3 linked regions of the Saccharomyces cerevisiae S288C genome follow. The gene in region 1 interacts genetically with each later gene. Each region holds a gene or a part of one and is shown on either strand. Other genes may lie near its edges.

Region 1 (3,173 bases):
GAAAAAATTGAGTCCTCATATTCCGACAATGTTGAAAACGTTGATGATTTTGAGATATTTTGGGACTATCTTCAGTTCAAAACGTTCTGCCAGAATTCTCTGTATTCCAGTCGATATTCTGATTCACAATCAAACGGGCTTTTGAATAAGGAGCTGTTTGATAAAGTATGGAAACGTTTGAGTTGTAAAGAAAAAAAAAGTGGTCAAGAAATTTTATTGAATAACTTAGTACAGTTTTATTCGAAGGATACCGTAGAATTTGTAGAAAAGAACATATTTCAAAAGATAATAGAATTTGGTTGGGAGTACTACCTACAGAACGGTATGTTCTGGAACTGTTATTGCCGTTTAATTTATTTCGACACTTCTAGGTCATATTTGGACAAGAGGCAATATATTGTCAGAAAAATATGGCCCCAAATAGACAAAAAATTTGCACAGAGCGTCTTGCCGTCTTTAACAGAATTCTGTGAGTCATACTTCCCAGAGGAGATGGATACATTAGAGGAAATGTTTACTGAAGAACCTTAGCCAAAAGGCATTGTCATTTATTAAAAGGTATAAATATGTAAATGTATACTTAATGACCGTTAAGAAAAACTACTAGCCTCATCACTCCCGCAGATCTCTATAATTGTTGTTTGAATACTTGATACGGTGGAGTGGCAAGGACAGTCTGCGCAGTCCTAATATCGATATTGATGTCTTCGATCAGAGCTTCCTTAGTAGTGTAGTTCAATTCGGGTCTGATATGACCTAAAATATTGAACTTGACCCTGGCCCCATAAAAATCATTTTTAAAATCATGTATAATATGTAATTCCATGGTTTTGAAATCATTTCCGTAGAATGGATTTTTCCCAACTGAAAGTACCATAGGAAGTACGGACAAATCATCGTTCGCTTCACTTAAATATTGACCGTAATTATAAACCACAGTTCTTCCATCCCGCCTTGTTTCCACCGATAGTTCTTGACCATCAACAGTTTTAATGTGAGCAAACCCAAAGTAAACCCCTAAATCCAAATCGTTGATACCTTTAGGTAACTGATTTATAGGTACATTGGCAGTGGGAATACCCAATTCGGCGGATCCGCGGCCAAATCCACATACAATGTCACAATAGTCAGTAACAAGCGGGAATGGTGGACCTGGTTGCGCAGGTATTGGCAAATCGACTTCTCGTTTAAAAGTATCAATTATATCTGTATTCGTATTTCGGTTCATTAAGAAAGTACCTGCTAACACTAGCAATAACGAAACATAAATAGTCCACGTAAACATCAACACTTCAACAACACGTGTCTGTGACCGCTTCACGGGTCCAAATTACCACTTTCTAGAACATTGTCTTGTACGTCCAATAATAGTGTTACCAATGCTGACAGAGTATTAAAGCAACGATTTGAATTGACGCATTACCCTCCTGCATAAAGGACTACAAATACATCCTCTCTTATAACGCAATTGCAACATCTGAAGTGCAGTGTGATCAAGATATTCAATTCTCTATTAGAGTAACTTAATCATGTTTCACATGATCAGTATTCATTGTAAAACCTCTTGAGTGTGATTCGTTGCCAACTAACATAAGCGTGCGGATTCTTTAGAAAGTGGGTGTGCCGACCCTGGGAAAGATTGCATAATGTGAATCCTTAATGACTTACCCATACTCTTCATTAATAACCTATTTAGAAAAAGAAGAAAGGCTGTTTCGGAGCTCCTTTTGTGCTGTTTGCAAACTGTCTATTTTCGCATCAAGTTTTACCCATCTACTACTTTATTCGCTTTACGGTAAAAGCGAACACGACAAAATCACCTATCATCTACGAAGGGCCTTTCGAAAACAGAAGAATAAAAAGACAGGAAAAGCATCTGTTTAGAATTTTATAACTAATTTGGGGAGGTATCTGTAAAGTAATAGACAGGACCGGAAATAGTGTAAATACTCTCCTTTGTTTTTTTAGTTGTACCACTTTGAAGAGGGCTCGAGATTCACGAACAAAATGCAAAGGTTTTCACTAGTCACTCACAGATCATTCTCTCACTCCTGTGTGAAGCCCAAATCTGCATGCTCTTTGGTCAAACCAGTTCATCACTTGGTGAAAATTGATAAGTCAAAGTTATCCCCTAGATTTCCAGAATTGAAATATGACAAAAGTGATATTAGGTCACCTGGATTTAAACCAAAAGACACTCATGCAGATAGACTCAATGACCATTACCTTAACACTTTACAATCTGATTTGTTATTGATTAATTATTCACATAACGCTGCGGTGGTAAAGGGTCTAAAACAAAGAGCGTGGAGTGGTGATTCGCCATACCACTTGAACAGACCACCGAAAAATCCTCGAGGTTCGAAAGCTCAACTACCTGACATTCATCCTATCAAATGGAGTAACATTCCTGGGCTAGAAAGTGTTGTAATAAACTGTTTTGTTAGGGAAGCGAGAGAAAATCAGCTATTGGCTATCACCGCTGCGTTACAATTACAACAAATTACTGGATGTAAACCTCATCCAATTTTTTCCAAAAATGATGTTCCAACCTGGAAACTGAGAAAAGGTCATCAGATGGGAGCTAAAGTCGAACTAAAGGGAAAAGAAATGTCTCAGTTCTTAAGCACATTGACCGAAATCGTCCTACCAAGAATCAGAGAATATAAAGGTATAAGCAACCAGTCTGGGAACAGATTTGGTGGGATTAGTTTCGGCCTGACGGCTGAAGATATCAAATTCTTCCCTGAAATCGATGCAAACCAGGACTCATGGCCTAAAACTTTTGGTATGCACATAAATATAAACACCTCAGCTCAATTAGATTACCAGGCGAGAACTTTGTTGAGTGGGTTCCAGTTCCCATTTTTCGGAGAGGAGAAATAAGAATACAATCTCATGGTCCTGGCCAGTTAGCCATGCTCTATGGCAGAAAGGCAAAGGGCATATATAATTTCCCATTCGTCATGTAAATATATAAACTGTACAAGATACTATCTCTCTCCATTTTTCAATCATATAGTTCTCTTTGGGGCACTGAGATGTCTACAAATTGTTATAAAATTGGACGTCTCTTACACAACTCACAACTCAACTCTGTATAAAGATTTTTAGGAAAGAAAATGTACATAAAAGTGAATACTTGTTTAAAAATGAGAACAAAGATTCCTACG
Region 2 (4,142 bases), on another chromosome or scaffold:
GTCAACGTAATGTACTTTTCTCCCCAATTTTTCTTTTCATCCGTATATTTTACCGTAAAATGGACAAGCTAATAGCAAAACGAAAAAACACGTTGTCACTTCTATATAACTTTGCTTAAGTAAGTATTTTGTCTTTATAATGTTACATACTGTGAAATACACTCTTTAGAAAACACTATTTCCTCACTCTCGGAAGCAGATTTCGAAGTTCTTCCTTACTTCTGAGCTTTGCTTCTCCTTCCTTGCGATTAATGTTACCCGGTATACGAAATCGGAGAGGATCAGAATAAATGCATTGAAAGGAGCATAAATCTATACAGCGGTTTGGCAATGGTGAGAGGAAGAGAACAAAAAATAGAACGCAGATAGTCATGTCCAAATACGCTTGGTATACCAGAGTTACAGATACATTACATCGTCTAACGGTACTGACGTTGGTTGGTGGTACGTTATACATGTCGGGTGGCTTAGCTTACACTTTATACATGAACGGTAAGAAGTACGAACAACAAGTGACCCAACAAAAGGCACTTGAAGAAGACAATCAACAACTGCAAAGTCCTACTGCACCTCCTACCGAGTAAACTGCGAGAACCCAGTGCTAATAAAATGAAGAAAAAGTACTAGATTACATTTTTAAGTGTTGCACTATATTCTAAGGGCCTCCATCGACGTAGTGTGCTGGTTCCACCTTCTCCTCATTATCATGCCAATATTTACGAACCTGTATATAATAATTAAATCATAAGAAACAACAAAAATAAATAACATTGCTGCCGGATTCCCGTAGGCAAAACTAACATATATATCGCTGCATGCCTTCCTATTCCTTATCAGGGGAAAGACTGCCACTGAGGTTTGAGGCCAAAGGCTGAAACACTTTTCTTCTAAAATGTCGTCTATTCGCCATCTAGTTTTTTATCTGACTATTTCTCGCTGTTTACTTTTTCTTACTGCCATTATGTAGGCCTTTTGAGTCAGCTTTGTGAAGAGATCTTATTACCTTAATTCTTGCTGAAAAATACATCGCAATGAAGTCACTTTCGTGATGGAAAGAACACGGCGGTAAGAATACGTTCCTTTTTGTGCTGTGTACACCCGTAAAATTGTACATTATTTATTTCAAAATATATAACAGGATCCCTCCAGTGTGTCTGAAATGATGCAACTCTGATACTTCAGAGTCGTACCCTTATTAAATACTAATGCCGAATATAGTCATCCAGTAGCCATAGTTCACACACACATTACTTATTCACCACATAAAGAACTAGAAATGCTTGCTAAATATCGTACCTTGAAGGTAAACATTAAGGCCCCCCAAAAGCATATATACATACTGGCAACACAAAAAAAGTAAATTGCCAACCACCTACCTTACATATGGTTTGCCCATCCTACATTACCAATACTATCAAGACATTTCTTCTGAAACATATTCACAACTGAAACGAGATCATTTTCTTATCTATCTATTGAGTAATGCTTACTTTTCATATTTTCAATGAACAATAGGATATGTAGGAGAATTGATATATTCACTGCGTATCAGAGAAAAGGTCTACTGACATTTTATGGCAAATGTATTCTACACAAATCGAGAATACCACAGACAATGGTACAAGACATACACAAAGAGAAGACTGTTCTAATTAAACAAATAATATTGAGCTACCTGCTAAGTATGTCCTTTTCCCTTTGTCCTTTGGTTTCTCTTATAGAAGACCCTGGAAATTTTTCGCATTTTTCCGGCTTTGGGCGTTAGTAAGAACAAAAAGAAAAGAAGAGAACAAAAAAGAAACGATACGGAGTACGTGTCATAAAAACTTGTTCAATCATCCTTGAAGCTAAGTATAAAGAGCTTGAAAAGGTTTACCACTTAAACTGGTTATACTATTTCAAGAGTGTAAACATTTTATTGCATATACCACAGTAACGTGCAGGTAAAACATGAGATTAAGAACCGCCATTGCCACACTGTGCCTCACGGCTTTTACATCTGCAACTTCAAACAATAGCTACATCGCCACCGACCAAACACAAAATGCCTTTAATGACACTCACTTTTGTAAGGTCGACAGGAATGATCACGTTAGTCCCAGTTGTAACGTAACATTCAATGAATTAAATGCCATAAATGAAAACATTAGAGATGATCTTTCGGCGTTATTAAAATCTGATTTCTTCAAATACTTTCGGCTGGATTTATACAAGCAATGTTCATTTTGGGACGCCAACGATGGTCTGTGCTTAAACCGCGCTTGCTCTGTTGATGTCGTAGAGGACTGGGATACACTGCCTGAGTACTGGCAGCCTGAGATCTTGGGTAGTTTCAATAATGATACAATGAAGGAAGCGGATGATAGCGATGACGAATGTAAGTTCTTAGATCAACTATGTCAAACCAGTAAAAAACCTGTAGATATCGAAGACACCATCAACTACTGTGATGTAAATGACTTTAACGGTAAAAACGCCGTTCTGATTGATTTAACAGCAAATCCGGAACGATTTACAGGTTATGGTGGTAAGCAAGCTGGTCAAATTTGGTCTACTATCTACCAAGACAACTGTTTTACAATTGGCGAAACTGGTGAATCATTGGCCAAAGATGCATTTTATAGACTTGTATCCGGTTTCCATGCCTCTATCGGTACTCACTTATCAAAGGAATATTTGAACACGAAAACTGGTAAATGGGAGCCCAATCTGGATTTGTTTATGGCAAGAATCGGGAACTTTCCTGATAGAGTGACAAACATGTATTTCAATTATGCTGTTGTAGCTAAGGCTCTCTGGAAAATTCAACCATATTTACCAGAATTTTCATTCTGTGATCTAGTCAATAAAGAAATCAAAAACAAAATGGATAACGTTATTTCCCAGCTGGACACAAAAATTTTTAACGAAGACTTAGTTTTTGCCAACGACCTAAGTTTGACTTTGAAGGACGAATTCAGATCTCGCTTCAAGAATGTCACGAAGATTATGGATTGTGTGCAATGTGATAGATGTAGATTGTGGGGCAAAATTCAAACTACCGGTTACGCAACTGCCTTGAAAATTTTGTTTGAAATCAACGACGCTGATGAATTCACCAAACAACATATTGTTGGTAAGTTAACCAAATATGAGTTGATTGCACTATTACAGACTTTCGGTAGATTATCTGAATCTATTGAATCTGTTAACATGTTCGAAAAAATGTACGGGAAAAGGTTAAACGGTTCTGAAAACAGGTTAAGCTCATTCTTCCAAAATAACTTCTTCAACATTTTGAAGGAGGCAGGCAAATCGATTCGTTACACCATAGAGAACATCAATTCCACTAAAGAAGGAAAGAAAAAGACTAACAATTCTCAATCACATGTATTTGATGATTTAAAAATGCCCAAAGCAGAAATAGTTCCAAGGCCCTCTAACGGTACAGTAAATAAATGGAAGAAAGCTTGGAATACTGAAGTTAACAACGTTTTAGAAGCATTCAGATTTATTTATAGAAGCTATTTGGATTTACCCAGGAACATCTGGGAATTATCTTTGATGAAGGTATACAAATTTTGGAATAAATTCATCGGTGTTGCTGATTACGTTAGTGAGGAGACACGAGAGCCTATTTCCTATAAGCTAGATATACAATAAGAGCAACACAGTTTATCTTATATGTATTCAATGTATAGATTTCAAAATATAGAGTTTAAATATCATTCAAAATATTCAATAAATTTTTCCTTTGAAAATTTAGGCCACTAAAAAATTATAAGAGCCAAAACGAAGTAGATACAATAATAAAAATAATATAGTCATATCTTAAACTTTTTGTGTAAAATCACTCCTCATTGTTAACCTTGGTAATAAGTTTACCTTTATTAACACCGCTAAATAGACCCTTCCATATCAATGGAACATTCTTGAACTTATCACCGGTACCATCTTCAAGGGTAGCGGATTTCAAGAGGTCAATCTTACCATGCTTAACCAGAGAACCCAATTTATCTAATGCCTTTGGAAAATCATCAATATTATCTGTCACTAGTACTCCTTTAACGACCAATCGTTTAGTCAGAATAAAGCTATACCCCTTAAAGACAAATTTAGATGGATCATTATAGGCACTTATAGCACCACAGGCTATCAACATA
Region 3 (3,971 bases), on another chromosome or scaffold:
CCAGCGATGTGGAAATCTTGGCCCTTGTTGACGTATTCAGGGAACTGATCGAAGAACAACTCCAAGAAGTTATAGACATCCTTACCAGCGGCGACAGTGTTGGAAACACCTGAGGACCCGGAATACGAGAACCCAACGTTGACAGGCTGGTCAAGGAAGATCACGGTGGCATTGCTGTTCCAAGAGTAAGGGTTCCCGATGGGTTTCAAATCAGGTCCAATGGATGAGGGTCCTAATTCAAAGAACAGCCCGGTTAGTGAAGAACAACCTGGACCCCCGTTCAACCAAAGGATGACCGGATCCTTTGCAGGATCGTTTCTACTTTCAAAAGTCCAAAAGAAGAAATGCTTGTCCTCGTCTTCCACATCCAAGTAACCCGTGTACTGTGTGACATTTGGGTCAATGCCCAGGATTTTAGGGTCCTTAATCTTGTTGACACGAAGCTGATAGTTTTCAATTGCGTCATTCTTGACCACAAAGTCCCAGTCTTTCTTCGTTTTGATTGCTTCAGGGAATTTTGGCTTAGTGGAAGTTTCAAGGCTCATAACCTGGTTTGGGTACAAATGCTCTATTTGGGCCCAAGCGTCCAATACATTGGAGTCCAACTCCTTCAAGAGATGATCCAGGTCGAGGTCCAAACCAAATTTTTCCGCAGCTTGCAGCAAAACGTCCTTATCTAGACCCAACGGTCTTTGCAATGAGATGGCCTTAGCGAGTGTAGTGGACAGGCCTAGTCCACATAGTAAACTGGTGAATGCTTTCATAGCGTATGTATACTTTAAGTTGAGTAGAAAAGAAACAATCTCTAGTGAGTATTCTTTCTCTCTCTCTCTCTTGTCTTGTTAAGACTAGGAGGGAAGACGAAAAGAATTATTTCGGAGCTTTTTTGCTGGCATTCTTATCTCGTGCTTTTATTAGTGGGCCCCTTCTTTGAGACCCCGCGGGTGATATGGCCCCTGTCTCAATGATGGATAAAGTTGTTGGAAGCAATTACCAAGACAATCACAAACGAAGGTTGCTACCGAAGTGTACTGGATGACCAACATCGCTATGATTAAATAAGACTATACATAATAGACAAGGGTGGCGCGGCTCCATTCCCAGGGAGACACAAACACGAGGTAAGTCTCAAAAAACCGAAGTTTCGCTCTAAAACTGCACGTAAAGGTCGTGGTATTGACTACAACCATTGACTGTTACATTGTGTAGAAGAAAGGTCCTCACATACTGCTCTGTCAATATGGCTTCTTGTGCAGAAGGTCAATATGTACTATTTCCATGAACCCACAAAATAAGGGAAAAAAAACACTGGAAATAACCGCCACACATACCGTATAAAAGTACATCTCTTTATACGAGTTACTTACTAGACCCTAACCAATGCCTTCAAAAAACAGGACAGACCCTAAAAACTACCATAAGAGACCTAACATATGTATCATCATATACGGAAATCGATTTCGCGTATTTTTTTTTTTTTGAGGCGCCATGATTTCTTACACGGTTTCTTTTTTTTTTCCTTCTTTCCTTCTTGCTTCTCTGCTAACAAATTTTTCACTCATTCTTTTTTATAGGGGCATATTGCTGCGGTTAACTGTAGTGAACGAAAGTAAGATTGAGAAAATATAGTACTTAAGAAAAAGAAAAGGAAAAATAAAAAAAATTCTTTTCAACATCATCGAGTAGCACAGTATAAGAGCGCTCTAACCTTCTGCCTGGCCTCCAATATACACATTTTGCTCGTGTAGGGTTATTTATCCTTTTTTCTTCCTTCCCACCCAAAAAAAAAAAGCAATGGCACACATCCCAGAGGTTTTACCCAAATCAATACCGATTCCGGCATTTATTGTTACCACCTCATCGTACCTATGGTACTACTTCAATCTGGTGTTGACTCAAATCCCGGGAGGCCAATTCATCGTTTCGTACATCAAGAAATCGCATCATGACGATCCATACAGGACCACGGTTGAGATAGGGCTTATTTTATACGGGATCATCTATTACTTGTCCAAGCCACAACAGAAAAAGAGTCTTCAAGCACAGAAGCCCAACCTATCGCCCCAGGAGATTGACGCGCTAATTGAGGACTGGGAGCCCGAGCCTCTAGTCGACCCTTCTGCCACCGATGAGCAATCGTGGAGGGTGGCCAAAACACCCGTCACCATGGAAATGCCCATTCAGAACCATATTACTATCACCAGAAACAACCTGCAGGAGAAGTATACCAATGTTTTCAATTTGGCCTCGAACAACTTTTTGCAATTGTCCGCTACGGAGCCCGTGAAAGAAGTGGTCAAGACCACTATCAAGAATTACGGTGTGGGCGCCTGTGGTCCCGCCGGGTTCTACGGTAACCAGGACGTTCATTACACGTTGGAATATGATTTAGCACAGTTCTTTGGCACCCAAGGTTCCGTTCTGTACGGGCAAGACTTTTGTGCCGCACCCTCTGTTCTGCCTGCTTTCACAAAGCGTGGTGATGTTATCGTGGCAGACGACCAGGTGTCATTACCAGTGCAAAATGCTCTGCAACTAAGCAGATCCACAGTCTACTACTTCAACCACAACGATATGAATTCGCTAGAATGTTTATTAAACGAGTTGACCGAACAGGAGAAACTTGAGAAACTGCCCGCCATTCCAAGAAAATTTATCGTCACTGAGGGTATTTTCCACAACTCGGGCGATTTAGCTCCGTTGCCTGAGTTGACTAAGCTGAAGAACAAGTACAAGTTCAGACTATTTGTTGACGAAACCTTCTCCATTGGTGTTCTTGGCGCTACGGGCCGTGGGTTGTCAGAGCACTTCAACATGGATCGCGCAACTGCCATTGACATTACCGTTGGGTCCATGGCCACCGCGTTGGGGTCCACCGGTGGTTTTGTCCTGGGTGACAGTGTTATGTGTTTGCACCAGCGTATTGGTTCCAATGCATATTGTTTTTCTGCCTGTTTGCCGGCTTACACCGTCACATCCGTCTCCAAAGTCTTGAAATTGATGGACTCCAACAACGACGCCGTCCAGACGCTGCAAAAACTATCCAAATCTTTGCATGATTCCTTTGCATCTGACGACTCCTTGCGTTCATACGTAATCGTCACGTCCTCTCCAGTGTCTGCTGTCCTACATCTGCAACTGACTCCCGCATATAGGTCTCGCAAGTTCGGATACACCTGCGAACAGCTATTCGAAACCATGTCAGCTTTGCAAAAGAAGTCCCAGACAAACAAATTCATTGAGCCATACGAAGAGGAGGAAAAATTTCTGCAGTCCATAGTAGATCATGCTCTTATTAACTACAACGTTCTCATCACAAGAAACACTATTGTTTTAAAACAGGAGACGCTACCAATTGTCCCTAGCTTGAAAATCTGCTGTAACGCCGCCATGTCCCCAGAGGAACTCAAAAATGCTTGCGAAAGTGTCAAGCAGTCCATCCTTGCCTGTTGCCAAGAATCTAATAAATAAAAATAGAAAGCCAGTATATGCACACGCACATATATATATAAATATTTATACAATAATACAAATAATCGTAACATCATCTCTGTCAAATTGACGTGGTGCACGGCGCCCAGAGAATGCGCTAAAAATTTTCGGATCCGAAATTTTCTTTCCTTTTACCATCGAGGCAAAGCAACCTGTATTATTTATTTGTTTATTTATTAATAGAAAAGAAAGGAGTACTTTCGTGGTACGCTTTCTTGAGCATTTTCGGTTTCACTAGGCAGAGAACTAACACAAGAGACACAGCAAACATCAAACAAGGTTAAAACAGCACACCAAGGCAATATGATGCATTTTAGAAAGAAATCCAGTATCAGTAACACGAGTGATCATGACGGAGCGAACCGTGCCTCAGATGTCAAGATTTCTGAAGATGACAAGGCAAGATTGAAGATGCGTACTGCTTCCGTTGCTGATCCTATTCTAGACGCTGTGCAGGAAGCCCAACCTTTTGAACAAGC

What was found.
Region 2: mutations in FMN1 (region 1) and ERO1 together harm fitness more than expected from each alone (negative genetic interaction), as found in Saccharomyces cerevisiae (2 studies listed by BioGRID).
Region 3: mutations in FMN1 (region 1) and LCB1 together harm fitness more than expected from each alone (negative genetic interaction), as found in Saccharomyces cerevisiae (2 studies listed by BioGRID).

What each region holds. Positions count from the first base shown.
Region 1 is NC_001136.10:934,608-937,780, forward strand, and holds FMN1 (riboflavin kinase), read right to left. Parts: upstream 1,286-3,173; coding exon 629-1,285; downstream 1-628. Other genes in the region: mRNA splicing protein PRP42, read left to right, coding at 1-531; mitochondrial 54S ribosomal protein uL5m MRPL7, read left to right, coding at 2,008-2,886. UniProt on the Saccharomyces cerevisiae protein: Catalyzes the phosphorylation of riboflavin (vitamin B2) to form flavin mononucleotide (FMN) coenzyme.
Region 2 is NC_001145.3:10,983-15,124, reverse strand, and holds ERO1 (ER oxidoreductin), read left to right. Parts: upstream 1-1,950; coding exon 1,951-3,642; downstream 3,643-4,142. Other genes in the region: COX14 (Cox14p), read left to right, coding at 372-584; YML131W (uncharacterized protein), read right to left, coding at 3,830-4,142. UniProt on the Saccharomyces cerevisiae protein: Essential oxidoreductase that oxidizes proteins in the endoplasmic reticulum to produce disulfide bonds. Acts by oxidizing directly PDI1 isomerase through a direct disulfide exchange.
Region 3 is NC_001145.3:858,715-862,685, reverse strand, and holds LCB1 (serine C-palmitoyltransferase LCB1), read left to right. Parts: upstream 1-1,794; coding exon 1,795-3,471; downstream 3,472-3,971. Other genes in the region: carboxypeptidase C PRC1, read right to left, coding at 1-764; GSR1 (Gsr1p), read left to right, coding at 3,796-3,971. UniProt on the Saccharomyces cerevisiae protein: Component of serine palmitoyltransferase (SPT), which catalyzes the committed step in the synthesis of sphingolipids, the condensation of serine with palmitoyl CoA to form the long chain base 3-ketosphinganine.